2 linked regions of the Arabidopsis thaliana genome follow. The protein of the gene in region 1 binds, or shares a complex with, the protein of each later gene. Each region holds a gene or a part of one and is shown in the gene's direction. Other genes may lie near its edges. The genes, in order: RRC1 and DRT111.

Region 1 (17,148 bases):
TACTTCCCTGCATTTAAGATGGGTACATGCAATAAAGAGTCTTTCAACGAAAATCATCATATCTACCAAAAATAAATAAAATCATCACTGAGCATAGAACAAAACAAAGAAAACAATCTAAAGCAGATACATCATCCCAACAAACAGAGGATCAGAAAAGCAAGTCCTCGGAAAATGTACTAATCAACGAAGAGGTTAGCACCTATCTGCCTAATATTAAGACTGGCTAAATAAATTCTAAGCTGAGAGCAAAATCCTTGAACACGGTTGAAATATTATCCCCAACAACTTTATAAGGTAAATGGATGCAGCAATTCTCCAATGAAAAGAGAAAGCCTTCTAATGGAAACACTACTTCCCTGCATTTAAGATGGGTACAAGCAATAAAGAGTCTTTTAAAGAAAATCATCATATCTACGAAAAATAGTATCAACACTAAACATCGAACAAAACAAGGAAAACTATATAAGGCAGATACATAATCCCAACAAACAAAGGATCAGAAACGCAAGTCCTCAAAATGTACTAATCAACAATAAGGTACACAGAGGATATCATTTAACGCTTAAGAAATCGTTAGCACCTATTAGCCTCTAAAATTACGAAAGGCTAAATAAATTCTAAGCTGAGAGCATAATCCTTGAACATGGTTGAAATATTATCCCCCAACAAAGGTAATTGAAAGCAGCAATTCTCCAATGAAAAGAGAAAGCCAAAAAAACTTGCTTAATCCACGAGACAATACAATGGCCAATTCAAACTGAAACAAATGGTTTAAACCAAAAGACACACAGAACCAAACAAGTTTTTGATCTCTCTACAAATCAATCCAGGCACCAGAAAATCAATCTTTACCTTTACTTTGATCAACACACTTCTGAAACTTCTCTCTGTACACGTTTATCCGCTCCTACAAAACCAATACTACCATCAATCAAACAACAAAAGATACCATTTTGATTAAGTTAACAAGATAATAAGAGAACTAAAACATCCAAAGACACATACAATTTCAGATTTTACACGATGATCATCAGGATCAACACCAGTACATCTCAACCTCACTGTAAACACACAAAACAACAAAAAAATTCAAATTTATCACAAACAAACAAACTTCAATCGAAACAGATTCACAAAGAAGAAAGAGTGTTACGTTCGTAAAGAGTAGTGGTGGCTTCAGCTAGCAAGTGCATAGTCTTAGCTCGCTGTAATGGTTGCATTGCAGCGAGAACCTCTGGCTCAGCTAAAGTCAGCATCTGCTCAAGCTGTGGCTTCAGTTCCTTGAGGTACGCAAGTGTTTGATTCACCGCTTCAATCGCTGATTCCGGAACCACTCCTCCAGCTCCTCCGCCGCTACTTCCTCCACCTCCTTCCATCTTCAATCGAATCGAGAATTTGAAAATTGAAAAATCCGGCGTAGATAGACTCAGAGGTAAAGAGATTAGGTTTCCGGTTAGATTCTCTGAGTCGCCGACAAGTGTTGAAATTTTTATCTTTATGGAGATGAAGAGGCGCTAACACAATCGGGAAAGAGTGACGTCAGCATTATCAAATATGGGCCGTTAATAGGCCCAAGACAAGTCAAACATTTAAGGCCCATTAAACTAGTGAATTTATTTTTATGAATTATTAAAAGGTTTCAAACTCAAATGTAGATCAGATCGGTGATTGATCAGATCGGCGGCGATGGATGGTGGCGACGATATGGATTCCCTGTTCGAAGGGATGGAGCTTTTTACACCGGCGTCTCAGTTCTCCGGTGACAGCAAGGTAAGCTCACCGCCTCAATCTGAAGAAACCAAGGCGGCGGAGGCGACACTGATCACGGCTCCTTCTCAACCAGATGTGACGGAGGCGACACTGATCACGGCTACTTCTCAGCCAGATATTACGGAGGCTTTGGACGAGAATCTGTTTTCAGACTTAACGATTGTGACTCCGGTTCAACACCAACCTGAGCCGATGGAGGCAGTTATCACTACTCATCAATCTCCGGCGAAGAATTATGGACGTCAGGTGTCACGGAGGAAGAAGAGAGCGGCTGGATTAAGAATTGGATACGGTAGGCACGAAACCAACAATCTCGACGAAGACGAAGATGATGCCGTTAGTCAACAATCCGATTCCGTTAGTCAAGTATCAGATTCAGTTAGTCAAATATCTGATTCCGTCGCGCAAGTGTTTGATTCCGGTAATCAATCTTTAGACTCTCCTGTTGTTACTGTGGTTGTTGGTAATGGTAGCTCAAGGTTGGAGTTAGTTAAGGCTCAGATCGAAGCGAAGCTAAATCGTTCTCGTGATTTGGCTGCTTCGGTTACTTCTGCTCGTAAGAATGCGATTAGGAAGAAAAGGCAAGCATCTGAGAATCTCAGATTAGCTTCTACGACGCACGAAGAGCTCGAGAAGCAGCTTGAGGAAGCGATCGAGACAGAGGATTTCGATGCGGCTGAGAGGATTAGCGAAAGCCTCGCTGCTAAGGAAAGAGATAGGCTAGCATTGTTGGCATTGCTTCGCCAAGCGGAATCTGATTGCGATGCTATTGAGTCGAAAATGGAAGAGGTTCTTCTTTCTCAGATTGCAGCTGAAGAAGAATCTGCCTGTCTGCTTCGTAGTTTTGGCACGGATGCTGAGAATGATGCTGGATCGATTCTGGAGAAAGCAGAAGCTTTTTATTCAGATGAAATGGAGAAATGGCATTCATGTTCTGAAGATGTTGAGGTTAGAAAAGTCGAATTGGATATAGAATCTGTTGTTGTTGATAACGTTCGGTTGTCGTTGAATGGTATTCTTGAGGGATCTGTTGAACAAGATATGAAAGAGAAGGAGATACTGCAGAAGAAGAAAGAACATTTGGCAAATGAACTTGAGGAGCTGCTTGCTTTGGTGAAGGCAAAGGAGAAGGAGATTGACGAGAACGATTCGCAAATAGAGGCAGTTGAGGAAAGAATTAACAATGTGGTGACTGGCTTCAAGGAATTGCAAACAAGTATGGATAAAATGTTAAACGATGTGCAAGCTGGTCTCACTGAGGTTGACAAGGAAACTGAAGATTTATCAAGGAAGAAGAAAGACGTGGACGAGTTCATGACATCTGAGAAGGAGAGAGGAGCCAAACTTCGTGATCTTGCCCGTGTTTCAGCGGATGAAGCTTGTGAATATGAGGAAGTTATTAAATTGCGGAAAGGTTTGATGTCATATGTGTCTAAAACTAGAGAAGAGAGAGCTAAGCTTGTAAATATCGAAGAGAAGCTTTCTGAGGAAGTACAGAAGCTACAAGAGGAGGTTTCCAGTACCCGAGAGTTACTTAAGGAGCGATCTTCTAAAAAGTCGATCATCCAACAGAACATTACATCTTTCATGGATAAAATTATGTTCATAGAGAAAAGGATGCCGGAGCTTGAAGCAGAGAAGAAAGTGGCTGCATCAACGAGAAATTTTAAAGAAGCTGGAAGAATAGCTGCAGAAGCCAAGTCTTTAAATTTAGAAAAGGATAAGACACAGATGGAAACAGGAAAAGCTAACGCTGAGCTCGAAAAAGCAGAGCATGAGATTGAAGAAACCATCAAGAGGCTACAAGAGATAGAGAAGTTGATTTTGTCGAAAGAAAAAGAATTGGCTATTAGTAGATTCCAGAGGTTGCGGATTGACAGTGGAACTGCAAAAGCTGAGAGATCAGCTGCTCTGGAACTGAGCGACCTTGAAGAAGCTAATCTTCTACTTGAGGAAGCGCAAGAAGCAGAATCCGAGGCAGAGAAGCTTAAACTCACAGGCGGTCTCAAAGAAGAGGAAGAGGAAGAAGAGAAAGCAAAATCTAATGAAGTTTTTGTCTCGATGGAACTCATAGCCACCGTTGGTCTGAAAAAATTACAAGAACTGGTGGAATCTGTTCCATCTTAACTCTGAAACTGCTTCAGGTTCAATCCTAGGGACTACAGGAATGTCCTGAATCATCAAGGAAAAGAACCGAATGGTTGGTTTTGTAAATCTATCAACAACATTAAGCTCCATAACGCAGTCCACGTATATGGTTTTTGTTTGGTTGTTTTTGGGATCCATGTGTTGATCGATTTGGTTGTTCAAAGAAAAGAGAGAAAGCTTATTCTATTCAAAATGTTACGAGGATAGAAACACCAGGAACTTTTTTTTGTTGGAATATACTTTCTTTGTTTCTCTGTTTACTTTAGATCAAACTGTTGATTTGGTAGGTAAACATTGTTGTCTTACTAGTCATTGTAATTTAAAAATTGTAAACTTGGCTCGTTATGGCAATTCTGTTTTGAATTTTTATTTGTATTGGACTTGAGTAGTCTTATGACACCTCTCCGTCGAAATGTCTGGCTCTCGCTGTAAGTAACAAAGTGGGATGTTCTTGGATGCTATGATTTTACATAGAGAAGTTGAAGATGTTGATACCATTGTGGAATTGTAGCCTAGGAAACCACTATAATGAACTTTACTTCATCATCATCTGAACCATTCTTAACTAAGATAACCAACTCTAAATATATGAAAATATTCTTTGTGGGAATAATATATAAAGATACAGTTTATGTAAAATTTTACTTACTCCAAATCACTTCTAAATATGTATTTTCTTATTTATATCACTCTCTAAATCTCTCTATTAAATAGAACGTTAACTCTTTAACCTCAATCTCAAATTTCAATTCTTCTAGTTATAATTTATAAACAACAGCAAAAAAAATTTTGTTCTATTACAAATATATGTTAACACTCATAGTTATTTTAAAAGTTTTTATTTTTGAAACAATATATTCTTTCCAGTTTATAATAAATATCAATTTAGATTTAAATTTTGTTTATTATCATTTTTTGTATATGTAACTTTTTAAATTTATTTATCAAAATTTTATGCTTACGCAATAATTAATTTAAAATTCCACAAATTCTTAAAAGACGACTGAAAATACAAATATTTTATCCTAATTATTATTTTTCCCTATCTCCCGTTTTTAGCTCGTCTTGTGTTCTCTCCTCGAGCCCTAGCTCGCTTCCTGATCAATCGTCACCTTTCTCGATTCATCCAAACCCTAGTTCCGAATCAGAATCCATAGTCTTCGTATCTTTCTACTTTGATCTTTCTCAATCATCAATTCGGCTTCTCTGTTTCGTTGGGTACAAGTTTCCCGAGGAGCAGTTGGATGCTGAAACAATGAGTTCATTCTCGATCACTCGTAAGAAAACACCATTCCAGAAACACAGAGAAGAAGAAGAAGCTAGGAAGAAGGTGAGTTGAAATTTTCAATCGATTCATCGCTATTCCTGGGTAGAATTTGAGAAATTTGTTCATCGGAGATTGATTTGATTGATTAATCGATGGGGTTTTCGATCTTAATCGCAGAAAGCAGAGGATGAAACGGCTCGTTTGTATCAAGAATTCGTGGAATCGTTTCAAGGGGATAATGCAACTACTAAGACTTTTGTTCGAGGTGGGACGATAAATCCTGGTGACAAGCCTAAGGTTGATTCTGAAGGTTAGTCTTTGCAAAGGCTACACAGCTTTTTAACTGTTTGTTTACAATTGCTTCTCTCTTTGTGTGTACTTTGTTCTTTTTGATTGGTGTCAAATGGTTAGAGCAATGCTTTGATTATATTGGGAACGCATTAATAAGTGTATGGACCTTTTTTCTATGCGTTCGCGGATGGCAGGTGAAAAGTCCAAAGATGGGGGTTCGGTTTCAAAGAAGGGGAGTAGGTAAAACTGATTGCTTTTGATTGAATCAATCTCGCTTTGCTATCGTAGATCGAAAGAGCTTGGTCGCTCGTGATTTTGCTGATGAGTTATACACTTTTGATATGTTTGTTACCAGGCTTGAGTAAAATATTATTAATCATGTATTTGTAACTAGCTGAGGTCTTAGGAATGATGTTCTTGGGTATTGCTTGATAAGTTGAAATTCATTCGTGTATTCTTGTTATATAGAAGATTATCGTCCACTTAATCTTTGTAGGTATGTTCCCTCTTTCCTTCCACCACCACTGGCATCCAAGGGTAAAGAACCGGAGAAGAAGGTCAGTAGCATGGATTTTGTCACTGTAATTCTCTTGTTCATTGGGTTTGTTGTTTGAAGCACAATTATTTAGTTGTAAGTTCATTTATTTCATCTTTCTAGAGGGAGGAGGAGAGGCCTAGGGAAAGAGAAAAGGGAAAGACTCGAAATATAGATAATTTCATGGAGGAGTTGAAACGTGAACAAGAAATGAGAGAAAGACGAAACCAGGATCGTGACCGTCAGGGCGATAGCTCGGTTAGTTCATTATACTCTTGTGCTCTCTTCATCATACTCTTTTGCTCTCTTCATCGGTGTTCTGCTCTCATATTTACTCTGGACTCCCGGCTTTCTATACTAAACTTATTCTGTATTCAGCCATCTAGCCGCTTTGATGAGCTACCTGATGATTTTGATCCCAGTGGGAGGCCAGGATCGTTTGACGATGGTGACCCACAAACTACGAATCTGTATGTTGGGAATCTGTCCCCAAAGGTGTTTTTTCTTTTCTTACTTGGATCATATGTTGTTTTCTCTCGCCATTGTATTCTTAATATTCATAAGGTATAATTTTATGCTCACGTAGGTTGATGAGAATTTCCTTCTGCGCACTTTCGGAAGATTTGGGCCCATAGCTAGTGTCAAGATTATGTGGCCAAGAACAGATGAGGAGAAGAGGCGACAAAGAAACTGTGGCTTTGTTTCCTTCATGAATAGGGCTGATGGACAAGCTGCAAAAGATGAAATGCAAGGTTAGCTAGCCTCTCTTCTATCTAGGACTCTCTATTTTAGCCTTGGTTAGAAATCATTTTCTAGGTAGATGCAACATGTGTGATATATATGAGAGATTAAAATGGATAGTTGAACAAGAAACGTTTTAGGCATATTAGTTTGAGTACTTCAGTTCAACAAAATTTGATTGGTTTCCTTGTTGATCGAAACATATACCCAGTGGTTGATTAATGTTGGAAACTAATGACCCTTCTGGCATTATTGACTAGTCTATCTGTCTATAGTCGACTGGTTTTGTACTAACTATATACCTGATTGCATGTGACAATGTTAAAGAAAGTTATGAAGGAAAATTTCCAATTTTACAGGGATCATCGTGTACGAGTATGAACTGAAAATTGGATGGGGTAAAGCAGTTTCTCTACCGTCACAAGCATTACCCGCTCCACCACCTGGACATATGGCTATTCGGAGTAAGGAGGTTTGTGATGCATCCTGTGCTGCTCTTCTAGATATATTTCTTCTTTAATTCTGTTCACTAACCTATGTATGGCCCGATCTCTGAATTTATTGGTATTTCCTTGCCATTTTTTGCATAAAAAGTTCTGCCAGTTTTATATCTCTTTAGTTTAACTCTAAAAACTTTAAATATTTCATTGGCAGGGCTGCAACTTGGTTTTTTCTGGTCAAACGGGTCCACCGATAATAACTTCTGTTCCAAATCAAAATTCTGAGCTGGTATGTAAACTTGGTTCCACATGGCTTGAATTGGTTCTTTATAAGTTCTATATGATATTCGTGGAAGGCTTTTGAATTACTTTATAGTCCAGAAATGTTACTGTTAAGTTTCAGAATTGATTGTCTTTATTTCTTAAAGTAATGAAAGACAAAAGCAGAACTAAAAACCAAACTTGGGATCAATTCTATTTGTAGTGCATCCTCTACTTTCCAAACCCCCAATGGCACTAAACCAGTCCCCAGATACTTGAAACTTCTCAGTACTTAATGCTTCTCTTGTTTGTAATGATACTGATTCAAGTAACTTGCTGATACGGCACCTATAGTTGACGACACTCTTACAGCTGCCCGTCTTTAATAATCTTAATCCATATGTACTTCCGTTGCATTGAACAGGTTCTTACCCCTAATGTTCCGGATATCACTGTTGTTACCCCTGAGGACGAGCACCTCAGACATGTCATTGATACATTGGCACTCTATGTTCTGGATGGTGAATGTGCTTTTGAACAAGCTATCATGGAGAGGGGCCGTGGGAATCCACTGTTCAAGTTTATGTTCGAGCTTGGCTCAAAGGAGCATACTTACTACGTCTGGAGACTATATTCCTTCGCTCAGGTACATTTTGATTGCCTTTTAACTAGGCATATATTTGCATTGTCATAAGCTGATTGAATATTTTTGCATTGTTTAGGGTGATACACTTCAAAGGTGGAGAACAGAGCCGTATATCATGATAACTGGTAGTGGAAGGTATTGAACCTTGCCAACTTTGAAACTGATCCGGGTGTTCGGTTGGTTTACCTTTGCATATGACATCTGTTGTATTAACACTGTCTATTTGCTCTTATTGCAGATGGATACCGCCACCACTGCCTGTAACTAGGACCCAGGAGCACGAAAAAGAGTCTGCCAGCACTTATGCGGCGGGAAGAACCAGAGTAATCTTCTTGCACTCTTACTTCTAATTTATTTATTTCTTTTTCTTTTGTTAGCTAAGTTGTTCTTTTGGTGTGCGGGATACCTGACACTGTTAAATCTTACAGCGTGCGGAAGTTGAGAGGACTCTGACCGATCCTCAGAGGGATGAGTTCGAGGACATGTTGCGTGCTCTTACTTTAGAAAGGAGTCAGATAAAAGAAGCTATGGGTTTCGCTTTAGATAATGCAGATGCAGCTGGAGAGGTACAATATGTTCTGACTTATATATTTCAGTACATTTAGTTGGTTTTTTCTAGACACCACAAAAAATTTGAACAGAACTACTCGTTAATAAAATAGATATTCATATGCCTCTTCCTACTTATATATGTGTACTTAATTCCACAGGTTGTTGAAGTTTTGACGGAGTCCCTGACTCTAAAAGAGACATCAATTCCAACCAAAGTTGCTAGACTCATGCTTGTGTCTGATATTCTTCATAATAGCAGTGCACGTGTTAAAAATGCATCTGCATACCGAACCAAATTCGAAGCAACTCTACCTGATATAATGGAAAGCTTCAATGATCTGTACCGAAGCATAACTGGAAGAATTACTGCTGAGGCTCTAAAAGTACTGTCAGAAAGAAAAATGATCGTTGATGGTTTTCATTCCCTTATAAATATACTTTTCTAAACTCTTTCTGACTTTTTGCAGGAACGGGTTCTCAAAGTACTGCAAGTATGGGCAGATTGGTTTCTCTTTTCAGACGCATACATATATGGACTACGTTCCACATTTCTCCGATCAGGAGTCTCTGGTGTTACCTCATTTCATTCTATCTGCGGTGATGCACCTGAAATAGAGAACAAAAGTTACGCTGACAATATGAGTGATATTGGAAAGATAAATCCAGATGCTGCACTGGCAATAGGCAAAGGAGCTGCAAGGCAAGAGCTGATGAATTTACCAATTGCTGAGCTTGAGAGGCGTTGTCGGCACAACGGACTGTCTCTTGTAGGAGGTAGAGTAATGATGGTTACCCGGCTACTAAGCCTTGAAGACACAGAGAAACAACGCGGCTATGAAGCAGTGGATGAAATTCCAAAGCATCCGCAAAACCATTCAACTTGGGAAGAAGTTAAGAGTGAGCGGGAGCATATCAAGAACAGCTACGCAGAGGTTGAAATGAAAGAGCCTGTGAATCTACCCACGACAATACCAATCCCACAGCCTGAGCTGAAAGCCTTTGTGGGAAAAGAGAAGAATGAACTCATATTGCCAGCTTCAAAATGGGCGAGAGACGATGATGAAGCTGATGATGAACAAAAGAGGAGCTCCTCTTCAGGAAGTGACAATACTGGTGGGATAACTTTCAAGGCCGATGGCGAGGATCTCAAGGGAAATGATTGTGTCCGTGCCCAACCTGACAACGGAATGGACGAGGAACAAAGGTATGATCAATGCATCTCTTTATGAAAAGATATTAGGAAAGTAACTTAAGCAAGCAAAATATAGATTAAAAAACACCAATTTGCATTATTGCTTCATGTTGGTGCTTGAGCATTAAAAACAACAAAGAATTCCTCGAAATAGTAACATCAGCGTAAGGGTAGTTTATGTTAGTGAGGGAGGTGTGTTCTTGTGAACTTCAATTGATTTGGTCTTTATAGAGTACACATTATTTTGTATTTTGGCTCTTACCCGGTTAAGTTGGATAATTGAGAGCCATAGAAAGCTTTTGGGCATATGCATCAATTGTATGTACCCAAATGTGCCTTACCTACCCATACATGAGCTTGCACCAATACTGTTAAAGTTAACAAGAAAATATGAGAACTTACTTTCAGTAGAAGTTGCTATTCAATTGTATAATCTGAAACTCAATAGACTTCTCCCTTGCTCTGTTTTTTGTTACTGCAGACAAAAGCGGAGACGCATAGAAGTTGCTTTGATAGAGTATCGTGAAACTCTTGAGGAACAGGGGATGAAAAACCCCGAAGAGATAGAGAGAAAAGTAGAAATAAACAGAAAGAGGCTTGAAGTCGATTATGGCTTATCAGGACCTAACGAGGGCAACAGAAATCGTAAGTTCTTACTTCTCACCCAACATACACATACTCTTCTTTTGTTTTGGGAAAGGTTGTTAATTTGCTCTATTTCCATTCGATGCAACAATGAGTGAAACACTATTAATGCGTCTCAAACACTATTAAATTAGGTATTCACACATTGATTTTAACTGCAGAGAAATCAATAATAGAGCGGAAGGAGAAGCGTGAAGATTCACAAGAGTCCTCTAAAAAGCGGCACCGTGGGGAAAACAAGAGCCAAAGTCCGCCACGGAAATCATCAACGAGGGAGAGAGATCATGACTTGGGGAGAGACAGGGATAGAGAGAGACACAGAGACAGAGATAGGCAACATGATTTGAACAGGGATCGAGATCGACGTGAAAAGAGTTCAAGCCACGATCGAGACGATAATGATAGAAGCAAAGAGAGAGACAGGGATTGGCGCAGACGAGGCACGAGATGATAATGATGATTATGCTTGTTCTCACCTCATGGTCTGTTCTCAAGATTTTAACCTTTTGTGTTTTTAAATCCAGAAGATATTGTAGAACTTGTTCTCAGACACAGCTTGTAATTTTGTATCCCAATTTCTGAAAGATTTCTCACTCAATTGTTTCTTCTACTGGATTCTTGTTTTTCTTATGGAACTATTTTAGAAATGTAAGTAGATTAGGTAGGTCCCCAAATTCACAAAGAATTGTTTCTTCTATACCAAAAACACACAAACTTGTTATGCATTCAGAGAAAAATGTAGTGTGTGCCTTTTGCACTTTCCAGAAGTAAAAGTGAAGTTCGGCAAAACTGCTGAAAAACTGAAGCATTTGCTTCAAACACTATAATAAAAGAACACTAGCTATCTTCTATCAACAGAGTGAACAAGAGAAGCCAATTCCAAATTCCGAGTTCCTTCTTTTTCATCTTTCTCTTCGTCCGAATCTTCGCCCATTATCTCATCCGGGAGCTTGAACGTGTTTTGATCTCCTTTAGGCACAAGAAACAGAAAACAAAGCGGCAAAAGTCTCATGACATTCCTGACCAAAACCGCAAGCCACAGGTTACCAAACTCAGTCCGAGTCACCTTGAGGACATGCAACATTATCCCTCCAAGCCAAGATGAGGTCATGAGGCCTGCATTGTCAATTGACATTAGCAATGCAAAGAACGTCCCTTCAATTCCGTGGGGACAAAGCTTTGAAGTGAGGACAAGCAGCGGCATCCATTTCAAGCGTCCGATCATCTGAGAAACTATCTCGTCCACTACTATGAAGAGATAATCCGGTAAACCAAATTTTAAGTTGAGACGGAACACAAGAATGAGGTCAAGCATTCCCGATAGAGCAAAGAGAAGTTGAGTCCACAAACAAAGTCCGCGGAACGGATGATCCTTTAGGACTAGTTGGTATAACGTTGCTGCTAGAATCGATCCGATTGAACCAATGGAGAGAATGAAACCAACTGTTTCCTAAAACAGACCAGGTAGGTTCTTCAGCATATTACTTATTTTGGGGTGAAGTTTGAAAATAGAAACTATTTGTTTTGGTAATACCTGAGCAAACAAAGGACCATCCTTTGAATCTGTGAACCAATAGAAGAGACCTTCATGTATGTTCAAACCAAGAGTAAGGGAAATGTACATATACAAACTCGGCCGCCACACATCTGAACACTTCATTGTCCTCCACATCGCTTTCCCTGCATCGGTAAATTTCTGGTTCACCTGAAATGATACAACAAGAGTCAATACCCTCATGATCAAGCTACCAAAGAGAGAATAATTATTACCTGTTTGTAAGAGAAACCAGGAACATGGGGCTCACTAAACACGATCCCGACTACCGATACTAACGCGAATGGGAATGTCAGCAATCCAAAGACACCCTAATGTCGCAAAACAAGCCAAATACAGCATTAGAGAGGAAACACAAATGAAAAAGATCATAGTAGACAGACGATTCATTAACCTTAGAGCCAACAAGATGAACTAAGATGCCACTCATAAAGAAACCAAGAAGTGCTCCAATGGAAGAGCTTAAACTGCATAAACTCTGCATATCCGATGCAAGAGAAGGATGTTTGATACTATTGTAAGCAGTACAAGCATCAATGGTTACATCAGCAATCGCCATTGCAGCACTTGATATTGTCATCCAAAACAGTGCCAAGTAAAGGTGTAGATTACTATGCAGTGAAATAAACAACAATGAAACCACTCCAAGCACCCCTACAAAAACAGAGTTTTGTACATTTAAAAGAGAAATCAAAGAGACTTTGATCGAAATTTCGAGCGAGATTTTACCTGCTAAAATGAAGTAAGGACGTCTATGGAAACCAAAGATGGGAAGAACATCAGTGAGAATGCCCCAAAGTGGTTTAATGATCCATGGAATCTTAGTGATTGCAGTGAGAGCTTGAGATTCAGAAGGCTGAACTTTTTGAACATCTTTCATATAATACTCTGTAGCTACACGACCTAATGAGCCACCAAGCCCTTGGTTAATTCCATATAGTGAGACTACACCAAACACAAAGCTCCAATGAAGCTCTGAAGACAACATCTTTAGCCACCGTACAGGACCACACACCACATTACGGAAATTACTTTCTCCTTTGACCACATGTACGGATCCGCCGTTTTCAAGGCTTTGCTCTTCTACTACCATAACTTGCAAGGAGGAGAAAGATTCAAGATTTGGCTCTGTTTTGAGCTTAAATGTTGAAACTTTTGATATGGGTTTGGTCTGAAAAACAGATCCGAGGGGCGAGGACAAGAGAGTTGTTTGAAGTTGGTATGTCTTGGATTGGATTGAGCTCAGATTATTAAAAAAAGGATGAATCTTTTGATGTAAGCAAGTCAAAAATCAAAGATTTGGGAATCAAATATGATGAATCTTGAATTAAACTCAAGAAACAAAAATGAAATTTGCACACATTCGTTGACCCTGTTTTCGTATGAACAACAAATGACCATTGAAGAAGAAGAAGAGAAGAAAAAGAAAATGAATAAAGAAACTAAAGGATAAAACTTAGATCAAGAGAGACGAAAGGAAAAGGTCAAAGCTTTTGCTGCTAAATGTTTGACCAGAACACACATCTTTCTTTGTCTCTTACTAAGAACATTCTTGTCTGTTTTCCTCTGCTTATTTTTTGCAATTTTACCTCAAAAATAGAAGCTTTTTATAGAATTTATAAGGTTATTAATTCAATAGAAGAAGATGAGTTCTTTGTTAAATGGAATTAAGCTTGGTTTTGCATCAAAGTCACCATATTACTTCATCAATACTTTTGACTTTTCTTTCTCTACATAAGAAGAACCTTTTTCGTTGTTGTTAAAGGTGAACGTAAGAATTTGTAATTAAAATTACGTAACTTTAAAGTATATTAGAGAATACAATGTATCTGAAAGAATTTGATTTATGTGTATAAGTTTTCTAATTCCAGTATTTCCCAAAATAAAATAAAATCCAAAAGCTTTTTGAAGAGTCGCCAAACAAAGGAACAGAAGTAGTTTTGTTTGTGTTTCTTAACCTAGTATATCCTCTTTAAATACGTGTTTGGAAATCGTTGGGTGAAATATAGATCTTGTCACCACTACTTCTCCACTGATCATGAAATACCAAAAAGCCCATTTTCATTTCTTTATAACAAAAGTAAATATATATATCCCAGCATTTTGGGATATTGTTGTCACCTTTATTGATAATTTATATAGACTTAGACAAAAGCTTGCCACCAACTACTAACTGTTGTTACTCTTTATTATATTACTTTTTTTATTTATTTTATAAAATACTTGAAACTGATAATCTACATGTACGTTTTTGTAGATTTTTAGCCAAAAATTCTTAAAGTATTTAGTATTTTCACTTTCAGTCTTTACAAAATTCATCTGATAATACTACGGTGAAATTATAGAATTAAGAAATAAAATTGTATAATCTTAAATACTTAACAAAACAAACAATATTAACAAAATAAATGTAATTTAAAATTTAAACTATTTTGTAAAAGGATATCGTTCTGACGTATAACCCGGATCAATCTCTAATGATATTCAACATTGGAGGATGTTGTGGTGGTTGTCATTGATAAACCTATTACAAAAAAACTAATAAAACTTCTGGTATTGTTTTAGAAACTATGAATCTTTTTTTATATTCTTTTTTCGCAAATATAAATCTTTATCAAGAAAGCATTTTAGAAAAATAATTTCATTACTAGAAAAAAGAATGCAAATAGCAAGTCACCTCTTCCAGTGTATGATAATCTTATTTATTAGGGCCAAAATAAATTGATGGTCCTAAACTTAAAATAAACCCGTTGTAAAAAAAAAAATTTGAACCAAAAAAAAAAAGAAATATGAATGGTCTTCAACGTACTTCAATGATCACAAAGTTCGAAGAGACAGAACTAAACATTTAATACGAGTTCTCGTAATTTGACTCATGCATCCATATGTGTTATACATGTGTATATAAGGACATGTTGTGAAAAGAAAAACAGCAGATTGTAAAATGGTATGCCACTATAGTGATAAGCAAATACTTCTGGTCGGTGAAGGAGATTTTTCATTCTCTTTGTCCCTAGCCAAAGCATTTGGTTCTTCCACCAACATCACTGCAGCATCTTTTGATATTCGAGGTAGTAGTAGATCTAAAACCATCAATCGTTTTATATTGTTTTAATTGTTATCATCATATACTAGCATAATCACTACATGAAAAATAAACTCAACAATATAGCTTATCAACTTTACTGATTAATGTTTTATGTGTACGGTAGATGGGCTAGGTCGTAACTACAACAATGGAAAAGCCAACGTGGAAGAGTTGGAGAGACTTGGGTGCACCGTGGTCCGCGGTGTTAACATACATTCCATGACCTCAGATTGTCGCCTAGCTCGATATGACAAAATCATATTTCATTTCATTCGTGCAGGGTAAGGTTTTGGTCGTGAGAATGAAAGCTTATTTCATCATGCATGTATATTGTGATATAGGGATGGACAAAACATTTGAAATCTGATCCGATATGCGTAGGATATTAGGAGTCTATTAATCATGATCTCAGTATTTGATCTATAACTCAAAATATCCGTACCGTACGCATGTTTGGAACCGCTCTGATTTTTGTTTAGTATTTATGCATTTGGATACGTGAGAATAACATAAAGTTTGGTCCATTACTTATTGCAACATTTTTTCCTGTTAAACTCTTTGGTATATAGTAATCATCATCATTTGTGTGTACAATTCACAGGAAACACCATGAGGTAGTGAAAAGCTTTATGGAGAGTGCGAGAGTGTTGAAGCTATTGCTGGTCAATATTTTAGTTGGCTTAGTCAACAATATATATCCTGTTTAGTCATTTCCTTTGTGCAACACTTTAGGTTATATCTTTTGCTTTGTATAAGTAAGGTTTTAACGCCTCTTTAATAAGATAAGACAACATAAACCAAACTACATCTTGTCTTAAGTTTCTCATGGTATCAGAGCGCAATCTGTGTTTTTCGAATTGAGTATTTCAAGTGAGTTTTCTCTGAAGCTATGACTGATGCTCCACCACCACCTCCATCTGTAATTGAGGTCCGACGCACAATTTCGCTGTACGACTTGACGGCAGCTGACAATTCGGGAGCTGTGATCTCCCATCCGATACTGAAGACAAATAACTATGAAGAGTGGGCATGTGGTTTCAAGACGGCGTTGCGGTCTAGGAAAAAGTTTGGTTTCCTTGATGGAACCATTCCTCAACCACTAGATGGTTCTCCAGATCTAGAAGATTGGTTAACGATTAATGTTTTGTTGGTCTCTTGGATGAAGATGACTATTGACTCAGAGCTGCTGACAAATATCTCTCACCGTGATGTGGCGAGAGACTTGTGGGAACAGATTCGGAAGCGTTTTTCTGTTTCTAATGGGCCAAAGAATCAGAAGATGAAGGCGGATCTCGCGACTTGCAAGCAAGAGGGTATGACAGTGGAAGGATATTATGGAAAACTCAACAAGATTTGGGATAATATCTACAGCTATCGCCCTCTTCGGATATGTAAATGTGGTAGGTGTATCTGCAATCTTGGAACAGACCAAGAAAAAGATCGAGAAGATGACATGGTTCATCAATTTCTTTATGGACTGAATGAAACTAAATTTCACACCATACGGTCAAGTTTGACGTCTCGTGTTCCTCTCCCCGGGCTGGAAGAGGTTTACAACATTGTGCGACAAGAAGAAGATATATTGAACAACAGATCGTCTAATGAAGAGAGAACCGATGTCACTGCTTTTGCTGTTCAAATGCGGCTACGTTCTGAGGTAATCTCAGAGAAGTTTGCAAATTCAGAGAAGCTTCAAAACAAGAAACTTTGTACTCATTGTAACTGTGGAGGTCATTCGCCGGAAAATTGCTTTGTGTTGATTGGATATCCAGAGTGGTGGGGAGATCGCCCAAGAGGAAAATCAAATTCAAATGGCTCAACAAGTCGTGGCAGAGGAAGATTTGGGCCTGGTTTTAATGGAGGACAACCTCGTCCAACGTATGTGAATGTCGTCATGACTGGACCGTTTCCATCTTCTGAACATGTGAACCGGGTTATCACTGATAGCGATCGTGATGCAGTCAGTGGGCTTACTGATGAGCAATGGCGTGGAGTTGTTAAGCTTCTCAATGCT
Region 2 (14,279 bases), on another chromosome or scaffold:
TTATTTATTTTTCCTAGATTGTAGAGTTTATTTCAGTCTTGCTCACTGTCGGTAGTGAAGCAGCAGAGAAGGAAGTAATTCGACTTGGAGCGGTGAAAAGAGTGTTGGACTTGTTCTTTGAGTAAGTAGGAAATTTCATTTTCTTAGTTGATGATATGCAAACTGCCATGCTAAATTGTGATGCAATTGTGTCTCAGGTATCCCTACAACAATTTTTTGCATCACCATGTGGAGAATGTAATTCTCTCATGTATGGAGAGCAAAAACTCTCAACTTGTTGACCATCTTCTCAGTGAGTGCAATCTTATTGGGAGTATACTAGAGGCGGAAAAGGACTCCACATTAACTGCTGGTGATTCTGATAAGGTGAAGATACTTAATTGCTAATGTCTGAGGTTGGCATCATTATTTATTAACTTGGTTTACATGCGATGTCTCAGCTTCAGCCTACAGTCCCTGCAGAGGGTAAAAAGCCACTCAGGATTGGAAACATCGGTCATTTGACTCGTATCTCCAACAAACTTCTTCAGCTAGCTAATAGCAATGTCGAAATTCAGTCACATTTGCAGGTATACTACAATTCTGTCTTATGGGATTTAATAATTTAGTTACTTGCCACACATTCATGTACACATGCAGATATGAAGTAGAACTGGTTTGCATGAGTTTTGGATGAGAATATGACATTTCTTAACATTTTATAGAAGATCAGATGGCTTAAACAATTTTCTCAGAGCTTTATCCCTGTTTTACTTCTCCCAAAGATATTTCCTTGATAGGATGTTTGGGTTAGAGGGGTTCTAGCCTTGTAGGGTGCTGGTCTTTAGTATCAAACTCTTGATATTTTGTTAATTTTTGTCTGCTACGATTTTTTACCAGGAAAATAGCAAATGGGTGGACTGGCAGACAGATGTCTTGTCGAAGCGTAATACATTGGAAAATGTCTACTCTTGGGCCTGCGGGTATGTATTTCTTTTCTCTTATAGGGAGATAATCTAGACTTAAAGAAACCTTGTGACACCGGCTTCTGTTTTCAAATTATTACCAAAGGCATGTATACTTAAAATGTATTTTTCATATAGAAGTTTGTCACATTAGTGTAATTTTCTTTTGATTTAATAGCAATCAAGATATATGATAAGTTAAATGTGATTGCACATTCTCACTAGGTGGCAATAAGAGCTTGCTTTTGGGAAGTTCTTTAGGGGGTGATAAATATTATTTATGAGAGGCAGTAGTGATGGTTGGTGCAGTATATGGATTAATTCTTTTTATTGATATTGCTCTTAACAGGAGGCCTACTTCACTCCATGATCGTAGTAGAGATAGTGATGATGATGATTACCACGATAGAGATTATGATGTGGCAGCCCTAGCAAACAATTTGAGCCAGGCTTTTCGATATGGAATTTACAGCAATGATGACATGGATGAGGTGATGTTCTCGTGTTTCCTTTTCATAGCTGCTACGTGTGACTTTTCTTTGGAAATTAGTATTATCCAAGATTTTGGCCGCATATTTCAATAAGTTTTGGAATGTCATGGGTGTAGACTGTTTAGTCAAAGGAGGGAATTGATTCAGGAATTTTCTTGGAATTCATTTTTATTTATGTTAGCCATCCTGTGATAGGTCCTGAAATACATAGTGAAATTGGATGCAATACTGTCTAAAGTTTTGCTAATGTATTGGACCACTGGGGTGGATCCAGTTACCAAATCTCTGTATTTGGTGGATAGTTAAACCGTCATTTCTTTCTTCAATCATTCTGCTTGGTTGACCACTGGATAGATATAGCATTGGGGGTTTCAGACCATCTTCTCTTCCTTTATTATCTTTAATGTAGCCTAGAAGTAGCTTGGATAAAGTCGGTTAACCTGAGCAACTAAATTCCGTCAGAGCTTTTGATTTCATTGCATTGTTTTCCTCATATCACATTGTTCTACCATTAACATATCTATATTATCCACTGCAGGCCCAAGGCTCTATGGAACGCGATGATGAGGTATTGTTCGTCTTTTCCTTATATTTAGGAATTGAGGCTTGACTTCCATTTGTGGAAAAGTAGGTTCAAATTTTTAACGTCTTTCATTTGCTCCTTTCTGAGAACTCGCTCAGCGGCTCCTGTGCCTGTTTTTATAAGCAGCCAATATGGAAGCTTTAGTGATATGGTAGATATGAAAACCTCTTATGAAGTCTATGTTGCAGGATGTCTACTTTGATGATGAATCTGCAGAAGTCGTCATATCCTCCTTGCGCCTTGGAGATGACCAGGAGAGGTAATCGGTTCAACTGTTTTTTCCTGGTAGAAATTAATCCGTTGATTCGCATCATATGCTTGAGCTTGATGTGGTCCCTTAACTTACGAAATATAACATGGTGTCGTTGCAGTGATTCTCTCTTCACAAATTCAAACTGGTTCGCATTCGATGATGATAAAGCTGCGAATGAGCGCTCAATGACCTCAGCTGCTTCCCCTTCACCCAATGCTGATGGAGATGGTGAAGATGATGATGATGTCGTCATAGGCGAAGCCGATGAATTCAACGCCACTGCAGCCTCTTCTCCACCTGTTGATATGGAAACAGAGGATTCTACATCAAAGCATCCTTCTGAAAACCCGAGTGAACCAGAACCTGAAAAGTCACCTGCTTGGGTTGAGTGGAGAGAGACCTCTGAGTCCACCGCACCACCTTCTTCCAACCCAGAGGAGACTACCATATTGTCCAATGGTGATGTTCAAATTGAGAAAGAGGATAATGATGATGATGATGATACTGATAACAAAAGTGCAGTGAAAACACCAGGTGTACCTGGCGATGAAACCACAGAGAAGTTACCAGATGAGAGTGGTGTTGAACCCACTGAGAACTCACCAAAAGCTAGTGGCATTGAACCCACAGAGAGCTCACCAAAAGCGAGTGGAGCTGAAGTAACTGGAAACTTGAGAGATTCCGATCCTGCTGAATCTCATGCGGATGCTAAAAGCTCTGAACCTGAAAGCCCTCATGGGACAAAAGAAACAGAGGTTGCAGCAGAAGCAGATACCAAAGAGACCGAAGAGGCTGTGAAGGAACCAGAGAAGGTAGTGTGAGCTTTTTACTTAACCGGGGGTCTCTTTGACTGATAAAACAAAATTTCTTCTGGTTTAGTTTGATTAAGGGCTTTGTCTGTTTTGGGTACAATTTATTATTCTATTTTTTTCTTTTCCTTGTTTGTTTACTTCATTGTATCATCTCCAAATCCGGTATTTTTTATTCAACATTATTGTCGACCAAAATTTGTTACTAGCTTTTCATATTTTATTAGTATAATCTTTTACCTCAGCTAGACTCATCAAGTGTCTTGTAAAGTTGTTGCTATTAATTTTTCACTTGTTCCTTGTTGTTTGATGCTTCTGTCGTGAACAGAGAAATCGATTCTGTCATCGCAACAAGAGCAAAAGTCTTTCGAGTAGACATTGTATATTTCGGAGATCTTCATACCAAAACTCAAAAGAATTGAGAGCTTGGTCTAGACGAAAACCAGACACAAAAATTTGCATCATGAAAAACACTCAAAGAATCTTTACATGAGATATCTGAGCTTGAGTTTGGATATTAACGTTGGCAAATCTCCATTGTGGAGAATTGAAATACTAAGCTTTCATTATCCTCCAGAATCTTCAAATATACATCAAGATATGAAAACAAACAGTAATGACTAATCATCTACGTCAATAAATGTATCATTACCTTAACTTATTAATGGAAAAGTCTGCTAAATATGGAAAGTTTATTGATTCTCTCCCTTGCATATATAAGATTTAACGATGCCTATGTACAATTTCTTTTTCTCCATCTAGTTACATAGTTTAGGGTTTGCTTCTTCTTCTTTTCACCAAGCTTCCTTCAATGGCGAACCCAAACCAATCCGTCCGGGTACTTCTTCCCGTCTCTCAATCTTTCAATCTATCTCTCTCTCTCTGTTTTTCAGTTGCTAATGATTTTCTGTGTATATTTTTGCAGACGTGCATACTAAAAGTCGATCTAAAGTGTTGCATTGGTTGCCAAAAAAAAGCAAGCATGAAATTGCAGAGTATCTCTGGTAAAAAATACTTCAAAGCTTTTAATTGCGTGGCTCATATGTCTTTAAACATGATGATTTAAATACTTTGTTTCCAATGGAAATAGGTGTAGAGGAAGTGGAGTATAACATCGAAAAAGGGCTCATGACAGTCAGAGGTGACGTAGAACCCATGGCTCTGGTTCGTAAACTTAATAAACATGACAGAAAAACAGAGCTTTTCTCAGTCAAGTACCAGCTTGATGATGATGATCTAAACAGTGATTCAGAAGACTACTCTTCTTCTGACTCTACTAATTCATCTTATGATCCTAAACCCATGGAACGTCAATTCCAAGAGAAGATGATGCAGCAGAAGAAGAAGAAGTCTGGGATACTAAAAATGCTTTCTCTTTTATGGTGTTTCAGCAGTAAATCAAAAGTTGTTCAGCCTTTACCGATGCGAAACCGAAACTGGCATGTCCCATCAAAGTTTGAGAATGTTCCTCCTGGCTTTGGCTTCAATTCTACTACATCGTCGCAGTTGCGGCCTCCGCATCCAATGATGCCCTATCCACCAATGATGCAACCACCAATGATGCAGCAACAACGACCACTAATGATGCAGCAACAAGCACAAGTTCCAATGCCACCTAATGTTAACATGTTCCAGTCAGCACCCCAACCGTTTAAGATGCACCCTAAGTTGCATTACGGGGAGCAGAAACAGGTTGTCACCTAAGCTACTTGTTCTGTTGATTATGTCTCTGATACATATACTAAGCAAAAGAATTGTTTTTAAGTTTCGTATCTTTTGCCAATTGCCGATAGTGAACATTTCTCAAGTCTGGCAAACTTTTAAAACAAAAGAACAAGGGTACATTTTGAATTCATTTATGTGTGATTCTCTGCATCTCCCAAACCTGGTTCCATAAACATTTGGATAAGATGAGCTTTGTTTGTGTCACGGAACAAGAATCTCATTCATAACCCAACAGAGAAAACATAAATAACAACTCAAATCTGTGCCTATTGCTAGTACTAGAATCTATTGTTTTTGATACAGAGATTTCTCTTGGAGAATACTTGTCTTGAGATTTGTCTGTTGTGCTTGTGCATCATGTTTTCCTCCGATTTAATGGTTGTTTTCATGTTCGCCCTCCAAATCTTTCAAGTATCCCATGAACAAAAGAAACCCGAAAAGGAAGAATCCACCTGAAGAGCTCCCTCCACCGCCTCCGCCACCACCACCACCACCATCATCCCGAGGTGGGAACCCGTTTCCACCGTCATCAAGCTTTGGGGATTTAACTTTTCCTGATATTTAAGTTAAGGCTAAAAAAATAAATTCTGAAGATACAAACAAGAATAGACCAGTCCGTTTCTGTTAAAGCACATTCTCAAGAATAAGAACCATAGCAAGCCACAATTTGAGTTCAAAATAACTGTTTCATATTAGCTAGAATCGTATGGTTTTTTAAGCCCCTCTTGTTTGTTAGAAACGCAAAATAGTTGTTCAACATAGAGAAGGGGATGAAACAATTTACCATGAGTAGGAGCTTGTGTGATTGTTGGTGATTGCCGTGTAACGGTCTGTGTTTGTCCTTGACTGCATTTTGAATTCTGCAGAAAACAAATCAGAATAAGTAAACAGCTAGCGTTTCAGAGACACTTAGGAAGAGAATACCGGAAAATAAACTATTATCGGCCATAAGAGCAAAAGGATCTTGTTCATAAAACAAGCAAAATGGCTTATGATGTGTAATTAAGTTATGTGAGCAAAATGGTGTGTGATGAAGTTATCCCAACAGCTAAAGATTTAAAACACTTAAACTTAAAGGCTGCAAAGTCATGAATGGAACCTACCAGCGCAGAGTTACATGCAAAGACTGGTCTTTTATTCTTAGAGACGACAACTGGTTGCACTGCATCCTGGAGAGAAGGGAATTTACTTTGGCTCCAAGGCTGGCGTTGCATAGAAACGCTTGTAGGATAACGCCTTTGAGAGTTTCCTATTACAGACAGCAAGTAGAAGAAGAGCTTTAGAATTCCATTGTTCATTCAATAAAAGCAAGCTCGAACGATGGGACTAAAGCAAGAATCAATGCTACAACAACACTCACTAAAGCTCTGAGATATCAATAACAACAACAAGTCTAGTTTCTTCAATTTGTCAAGAGCAATCCAAACTCAATTTCAAAGAATTTTCCAAAGAAGCAATTGTAAACTTAAGAGCCAACAAGTGTTGAGATTTAGAAGAGACATACCATTACTCGTAAAAGATTTCTCACGAGGAGCGAGGTACACCGATGTTTGTGTACCAATACACAATGATGGATTCATTACCGGCATAACTACAAACAGCAACAAAACAATAATCTTTAACCTATTTCACAAGGGAGAAAAATAAAAAAAAAAATCAATTTCTCATAAATCGAATAGAGAAAAAAATTATGGATTCATCAATTTTGAAATTCGATTAATGATAAAAACCCATAGAGATTTGGATCAAAGCAGGTAGATTTTTTGTCGAGGAAAAATTTGGGATTTTGGTTGCTCCTCGAAGCTTCTCGATCATAGAGGACGAAACGCAAATAAATAGTTTATAAGAAGAACAAAAAAGATGAGGAACGTGAATCGCACCTGAAGACTAAAACGCAAAAAGACGGAAAAAACAAAGATCTTTCTTAGGGTTTATGTAAAATTCTCGCACAAATCAATTTTAAAGCGTTGGCTTCTATTGCAAGAATCTAAATAGCCCAGAAAATAAAATAAAAGGACAAAATATTTCTCCTTTGTTTGTCGGTTTTTTATTTTCCAACAAAATGATATTTGTTTTATTTATTATTACTAAGGCTGATCGGAAAAAATTAAAAACCCTAATTTGAGCAGATCTTTCCAATTGAAAGCGAACCGTGAATTTTGAGTCTCTTTACCGGCGGCGAAAAAATGCTTGGTGGATTATACGGAGATCTTCCTCCACCGACCGATGATGAGAAACCCAGTGGAAACTCCTCTTCCGTCTGGTCAAGCAGTACCAAAATGGCTCCACCTACACTTCGCAAACCACCAGCTTTTGCTCCCCCGCAAACAATCTTAAGACCTCTCAACAAACCTAAACCTATCGTTTCGGCTCCGTACAAGCCTCCTCCTCCTTCGAATTCATCGCAATCGGTGCTTATTCCGGCGAACGAATCAGCACCTTCGCATCAGCCTGCATTGGTTGGTGTGACTTCATCGGTGATTGAAGAGTACGATCCAGCGAGACCTAACGATTACGAGGAGTATAAGAGGGAGAAGAAGAGGAAAGCTACGGAAGCTGAGATGAAACGAGAGATGGATAAGAGAAGGCAAGAGGATGAGGAAAGAGATAAGAGAGAAAGAGAAGAGAGGGAGAAGGAGAGAGAGAGAGATAACAGTGATCCGTCTCGGTTGAATATCTCCGGTGAGGAAGCGTGGAAGAGACGCGCTGCTATGAGTGGTGGTGGAAGTGGTGGGAAGGGAAGATCTTCGTCTCCGCCGGGGAATGTTGATGGGTTTAGTATTGGGAAATCGGAGACGAGTGGGTTAGGAGTAGGAGCAGGTGGACAGATGACAGCTGCTCAGAGGATGATGGCGAAGATGGGATGGAAACAAGGACAAGGGCTTGGGAAATCAGAGCAAGGGATTACTACGCCATTGATGGCTAAGAAGACTGATCGTAGAGCTGGTGTCATTGTCAATGCTAGTGAGAATAAATCTTCTTCGGCGGAGAAGAAGGTTGTTAAGAGTGTTAATATCAATGGTGAACCAACCAGGGTTTTGCTTCTTAGAAACATGGTATGCGTTTCAATAACATCTCTTATCAGCTTATGGATTCTTCAGTTCTTGAGTTTGGATGCCACAGTCTTAGTTGAATCAGTATTAGTAGGCCAAAGTCAATTTAGAACTTATTCAAATCAAACGTGTTGTTATACTAGGACACACTTTGCTACAATGATTTAGAACGGTCTGTTAGAATGATATTAATGTATTCCAACATTTGATGTGGTCTTAGTTAAGAAATTGTTACTGCTAATTGTTGGCAGCATGTGAGGGCGTAGTATTGAATTACGGTTGACAAAGATGTCTCTGTGGAAATGGAATTGAGTAATGGGATGCCATTGGAAAGTAGGACCTTTTGTGACTATGTTGATTTTTTCAAGCTATCGTGAAGTTAAAAGCTTTGGCAGTTTTGTGATGATAATTCTTTGTTGGTGAAGCTTGTAGCTTAGAGTGTTACTTATGTTATGGTAGCCTAGTACACTGCTGGATTGTTATAGAATTTAGATTGCCTACTCTTTGGAAACAACAGTTTAAGTTACAGTATCTTTCCCTCAAATAGTCAAATAAGCATTTGGAACCGTACTTTGGTTTTTGGGGATAGCCTAACCTGAGGCTTTAAGCTTGGATTGCCAAATACTAGAGAGTTGACAAATGAATCCGTAGGGGTTGGCATTTGATGAAGTAATTTTTATGGTTCTTGGATTACTGTAATAACTCGCAAGATCTATTCTTTCTGTGTTTTTTTTTTTCATTTCTTGACTAATTTTTGATGGAAATTCCAACCATGTAGTTATTGGTATGTGAATGAATGCATCTTCACATTGATTGTCATAAACGTAGGCACATTCTTGTTATTCTGATTGTTTTCACCATAACAAGTACTTGTTGGAAAAATCGTATCTTCCTTGTCTCATGTATCAATTCTGGTTGACCCATCACCTGTTTTCTCTGTGTCTGAAGGTTGGGCCAGGACAAGTAGATGATGAGCTAGAAGATGAGGTAGGAGGCGAGTGTGGCAAATACGGTACAGTCACTCGTGTACTGATATTCGAGATCACTGAACCGAACTTCCCTGTACACGAAGCAGTAAGAATCTTTGTTCAGTTTTCAAGACCCGAGGAAACAACTAAAGCCCTTGTAGACCTCGATGGGAGATACTTTGGAGGAAGAACCGTACGTGCAACGTTCTATGATGAAGAGAAATTCAGTAAGAACGAGTTGGCTCCAGTTCCAGGTGAAATCCCTGGCTATTAATAACTCCTAAGACAAAGAAGAAACTTCATCTTCTAGGAGATTCTTGTTAGAGAAAGAAACCATAGATGAGGTTTTAAAAACATTTGTAAAGTACTTAGAAATCTTGGGATTATCTCTTTATTGTTGTTCAAAGTAGCTTCACAAGGATCAAGAAATGTTCCTGCTTTTTCTGTCATGGTTTGATTTAACATATGAAATAGTCACAATCCAGTACTAATGGGTCATGAGACAATATAGTAACAAAAAAGACTAATGGGTCGAGTGTATACGATTCGAGTTAATATCGAGTTAATAGAATTTGGGCTACTAGGCCCAAAATCGTTGATTTCAGGACACAGAAATGTACAAACTTTTAATGAGAAGAATAGCATCAAAAGAGTCTTCTTATATGACGAAAAAAAAGAGTCTTCTTATATTTGATCAAAAGATAAATTTCATAAATAAAAACGTAACGTTTATTCATTTTGTTGATTGAAAAATTCTCTATAGTCATTTTAGTATGATCATCATTTTTATTGGCACCTAATTTCTCAAGCACTAATTATAGGAGAAGTAATATTTTATGTATATTATTCACTACATATATATCAGTCAACATAAACAAACGCTTACAACAGTACTCAATATTCAAACAAAAATCGAAATCATTGTACGGGTTAATTTGTCAATGTTACAATATGTACAGCTTAAAAAAAGTAAAACGACAATGTATCATCAACCTGCAGGAAACGGAGCACCGTATCATGAAAAAATCAAAAGTATTGCTTGTTTTGGTGCTGCACAAAATTCAATGTCCTAAAGCTCTCAATCATCAAACCTACATTTACATTTTCAACACCATACTTTAATAAACTTTTATTCAAAGTTCAAAATATTACGAATAATTTTGGACCTATATAGACCCCTCGTGCATTTACACACTTTCAAAGTCACTATCTTGATATCTTCCCTTAATTATTACAACAACTACCAGAAACACAAAACAAAAATGAAAAATGAAGCAGATCACTGATAAAAAACTATTCAGAACACATGAAACGAAAATGAATGGGTCAAATAAATTATAAGAAATTAAATGGGTCAAACTGACATTATAGCCAATAAGATATCACTGCATTACCCAACAGTTTTTGCTACTGCTTACCAAAAAAACACGAAAACTCTGAAATAGTGTTACCCTAGTTTCAAAACTCTGGAGTATCGTAAAATTTCTTTTGTGAATAACAGAAAAAAGAAGGAAAAGACAAAACGCAAAAGACAACACAATAAAAGTTTTATATTGTAGATCCTGTAGGTTCTGTTTTATACTTGTATGCATAATTGCACTTATTAAAACTATATGGCTATCTATTATTCCCTAATTTCAATTTACATAAAATGCCATATTCATCATGACCGGTTCCATCGTATCGAGCTAACAAATTATCAGTCTACACTTATAAATTAAACACGTGATATGTGTTCGGCGAGTCTGTGGCATTACTTTACGTCGACTTATAGTATAGTGGCATTATTTTGTATCGGTGAGTCAGAAGTACATAGTAACAAAATTATTTTGTAGCAATACAAACTTAGTTGTTAAATTTTGAATTAGCGAAAAAAAGACAACAAGCCAAATTAGCTCATCTAGGCTTTCCACAAGAGTTTAAATACGCAGCCAAGCAGCGAAATTCAATTATTTATGACTTTGGGAAAAACAAAACATAGGCAGATGCATACATATGATACATATATATAAATGTGATCTAGTGTCATACCTAGTGAGTCGCAGTGACCAAGACAAAACCATGCATGCATGCAAGTGGCAGCCATCAGCCATGTGCATGTGAGTGTATGTACATGTAACATGCTTTGTCACGAGGATTACGTATATGTATGGATGTTGATAATCTTAAAGTTTCTAGATTTTTGGAGTCGGTTTCTAATTTTCATAGGTTTGATTTAAAATCTCTTTTTAAAAACTATAGCAACCAGATTCCGATTTTGTGCCAAACAAATGACATCTCAAAATGTTCATGTCAGTAAGTAAATGTTTGATAAAGGTTCCATTCGTATAAACAATTATATTTAAAATTACAATCAAACAAATTCTAAAAAGAGGTTCACTACATTCAACAACAAAACTCCTTAGCAAAAAATATGGTTTTGGTTTTGGGATGACAAGAAAAATCATATTAAAAAAAATATAACATTTCTTAAAAAAATTTAGAAAATATATGGCTATAAAACTCTGCAAGCTACAAAGGGAAAAATATTATTTAATCAATTGCTATAAGAAAGCATTTTAATTTTATGAAATATGCACCAGAGCTTTTTCTTTACCGAGGTTTAGTGGTGGCTTTGGTTACACATAAATATTATAAAATCAGAAAGTCAATGAGCTATAACCGAAAAAAAAAAAACAAAATGAATTCATATTCATGAATGATAATTTGATCCCTTCCTTAAAAATCAGTTTAATCTCAGTTTGATTCAAATCAGTCTTTCAGTTTCTGTAACGGAATTAGACATCTTCAGTAATACTCAAAAGTATATTTTGTTTTGCAAGTTTGTACATACACAATTCTCTTATCATATGAGAATTTTTTTTGAATATATGGACTGCATTTTTATAAATTCTATAGGGATTAAATGGGTGAGAAATAATGACATCAGCAATGTTGACTAAGGAGGAAGAAGGCAGAATCGGGTAAGGCATTTCCTTACACAAAGCCAGATCTGTCCCAAACAGAATCACTTCTGTCTTTTCACCGTTCTTTTTTTTCACAACACAAAATTCAACTTGTATGTTTTTTTTTTTTTTGCATGAGCCCCCACATTCACATTCATCACGCAGCGGTCAAATCACCCGCCCCACATTTTCATTTATTGATCTGTTTTTCATTATCGTTTTCTAGTTAATTATTCATTCATTAGGTTAAGTAGTTAGTACTAGTGTAGTAGCTAGTTCTGGTTTTCAATAGTTTTTACGGTTTGATTATGGTTGGTGTGTATCATTCATCCGTAAATGGTAAAACCTCGATCGATTTACATAACTCATGTAGACAGCGGATTAAAATAGCTGTCCTTAGACTTAAAAAATTCTGTTATTGGTTATATAAAAATATTCCACCATTTTCTTTAAATTATGCTGAAAAATGATAAAAAGAGATTGTACATAAATAAAACTTCCATATTTTTGGTCGGTATAAAACTTCCATAAGAGTTTTGTAGGTTTCTGTCCAAAAGAAAAGCTATTTATCAACTTCCATTACTAACTAGACTACCCAAAAGAAAAGTTTATAGGTTCCTCCAGCCTAGAAGTCAAAGAACAGCATCATCATGACTAGTTTTCTTGTGATAGATACTATTTCAATTTAATAGATAAATACTAGTAATGATTATTGATCATTTAATGTCAAAGATTCATTCAAATCTAATCTTTTGGATGATTATTATTTATGCATACAACCTAAACTCCGCATACATTTTTCATGTTACATATGAGCTACCAAGTCCATTAAACGTTTTTTGCCAAAAACTATGATGATTAATTTAGTTTATTCGACATGCTTTTGAGGCCAATCTTTGTGTTTATATTTGTACATTAACACATGATAAAAACTTATAAGATTACTAATAATAATTCATCTTATATCTATCTATATATATATATATATATATATATATATATATATATATATATCAAATTTCGTAAAAGGAAGATGAAGAAAAACGAAACAAGTCCAAAACATAAATAAAAATAAATATCTTGCCATACATAATGTCATAATTGATTAAAGAGATTATCATCAGAATTTTTCCATATTACATATAGAGTTATGGACTCTCTAATTCAACAAACCTTAGCCAAAAACAACATCCCCTAACTTTTAATATCTAACATAACCAACCTTTTCCTTCATCAAACAAACGACCAACTAACGAGGGTAAAAGCCAAGCAGTGGTTTGATTCGTTGTCATCAACAACTTTCCACACCGTCGCTTGCTCATACGAAACCGGTCTGCCCATGCTCGACACACATATTCCTGCCGGAAGATTCGCATATCCCTGAAGAAGATTCAATCCAAACTTAGTATTTTCCAGGGAAAGACTTAAAAGACTAGCTAGAAAATGTTTAACCTGCTGCATGATCTTGGCGAACTCGGAGCAAAGAGCTCTACGACCAGAGTCATCAAGTGTTTTGTCGAGCATTATATCCTGAAGTGCCACAAGTGTAGTTTCAAGCATGTCTAAACCAGCTTGGTTTGCAAATGTGAATACCGGTGAGGCCTGAGAACCAAAAAATAATCAGACAATTCCCAAACCGAACCATAAACTAGATTGAGCACCTCTTAAAAAAACAGAATTCTTACATTAGTTTTCAGGGAGCAGCACAATATGGCATCACTATGGTCCCAGAGTTGCTTAAGCAATGTGTCTCCTCCACAGGACTGAGAATCAGCTCCAAACAGATCTGCACCTGTATGAATACTAAAACATCGGAGAAAAACATTTTATTGAGTTATTAAATGAGATAAGCACATTCTATATTGTTACAAGTCTTTAGATTAAGGTTCTAAGAAGAGTACCTGTAACTACGGGTGATCCAACGGACAAGAGTGAGAGCTTCAGGGGAAGTGGGAAGTTGCATTGAGCCAGGACGAGGCGTAATGGCTAGAGCCACTCTCTGAATCGAACCAACAACGTTCCTCACATACTGTCTCGCCATTGTAGCAACATTGTCTCTGGAATGGTTATCAAACGTGAACTGGAAGGCTATTGTTAAGACCAATCTAGAGTTTGTTTCCGAATCGGTTTTGGTGGAACCATCTAGGGACGATGCTAGATCCCGTGTTCGACTTGCAGATTGATGATCATTCTGTAACGTTACATACAGGAATAAAAGAAAAAGGACTGTGTCAATTTCAAGATATCAAATTTCTTATCATAAACAGTTTTCTTTTTACCGGATTTGTTTTTTGGTCGAGTGGTATGACACGGAAACCAGAAGGAAGCAAAGGTGCATCATCAGCAAATGATTCATCGATTGGGGCAAAGACAAGCTGAGCACAACCTCCAACCACATTTTCATCAACGCCGCTACAAAGCTGGACAAAAGCAAAAAAGAAACCAAGAATTCAATTTCAATAACTCATCTTTAAGAATCCCTGAGTGTCTTTAGTATAAAGCAAACCT

What was found.
Region 2: RRC1 (region 1) and DRT111 share a complex: the UniProt entries of both Arabidopsis thaliana proteins name them as parts of the SWAP1-SFPS-RRC1 splicing factor complex.

What each region holds. Positions count from the first base shown.
Region 1 is NC_003076.8:8,628,013-8,645,160, reverse strand, and holds RRC1 (RNA recognition motif (RRM)-containing protein), read left to right. Parts: upstream 1-4,943; 5' UTR 4,944-5,176; coding exon 5,177-5,251; intron 5,252-5,365; coding exon 5,366-5,498; intron 5,499-5,673; coding exon 5,674-5,719; intron 5,720-5,975; coding exon 5,976-6,036; intron 6,037-6,137; coding exon 6,138-6,272; intron 6,273-6,392; coding exon 6,393-6,509; intron 6,510-6,600; coding exon 6,601-6,766; intron 6,767-7,114; coding exon 7,115-7,227; intron 7,228-7,409; coding exon 7,410-7,484; intron 7,485-7,880; coding exon 7,881-8,102; intron 8,103-8,178; coding exon 8,179-8,237; intron 8,238-8,340; coding exon 8,341-8,425; intron 8,426-8,530; coding exon 8,531-8,668; intron 8,669-8,812; coding exon 8,813-9,037; intron 9,038-9,121; coding exon 9,122-9,858; intron 9,859-10,327; coding exon 10,328-10,491; intron 10,492-10,652; coding exon 10,653-10,942; 3' UTR 10,943-11,332; coding exon of another isoform or gene 11,333-11,941; 3' UTR 11,942-12,025; downstream 12,026-17,148. Other genes in the region: AT5G25080 (Sas10/Utp3/C1D family), read right to left, coding at 856-910, 1,009-1,064, 1,157-1,379; AT5G25070 (neurofilament light protein), read left to right, coding at 1,690-3,900; AT5G25050 (Major facilitator superfamily protein), read right to left, coding at 11,333-11,941, 12,026-12,196, 12,262-12,357, 12,441-12,700, 12,776-13,139. UniProt on the Arabidopsis thaliana protein: As a member of the SWAP1-SFPS-RRC1 splicing factor complex, modulates photomorphogenesis by regulating the gene expression and pre-messenger RNA (mRNA) alternative splicing of a large number of genes, including those involved in plant responses to light signaling.
Region 2 is NC_003070.9:10,783,324-10,797,602, forward strand, and holds DRT111 (D111/G-patch domain-containing protein), read left to right. Parts: upstream 1-6,698; 5' UTR 6,699-6,991; coding exon 6,992-7,861; intron 7,862-8,806; coding exon 8,807-9,100; 3' UTR 9,101-9,402; downstream 9,403-14,279. Other genes in the region: AT1G30470 (SIT4 phosphatase-associated family protein), read left to right, coding at 18-121, 198-366, 441-569, 880-962, 1,294-1,435, 1,974-2,003, 2,207-2,277, 2,390-3,092; AT1G30473 (Heavy metal transport/detoxification superfamily protein), read left to right, coding at 3,892-3,918, 4,006-4,084, 4,171-4,784; AT1G30475 (uncharacterized protein), read right to left, coding at 5,178-5,359, 5,590-5,665, 5,909-6,054, 6,310-6,396, 6,536-6,620; PHV (Homeobox-leucine zipper family protein / lipid-binding START domain-containing protein), read right to left, coding at 13,005-13,151, 13,224-13,373, 13,457-13,574, 13,673-13,962, 14,051-14,191, 14,278-14,279. UniProt on the Arabidopsis thaliana protein: As a member of the SWAP1-SFPS-RRC1 splicing factor complex, modulates photomorphogenesis by regulating the gene expression and pre-messenger RNA (mRNA) alternative splicing of a large number of genes, including those involved in plant responses to light signaling, probably by helping in the 3' splice site determination.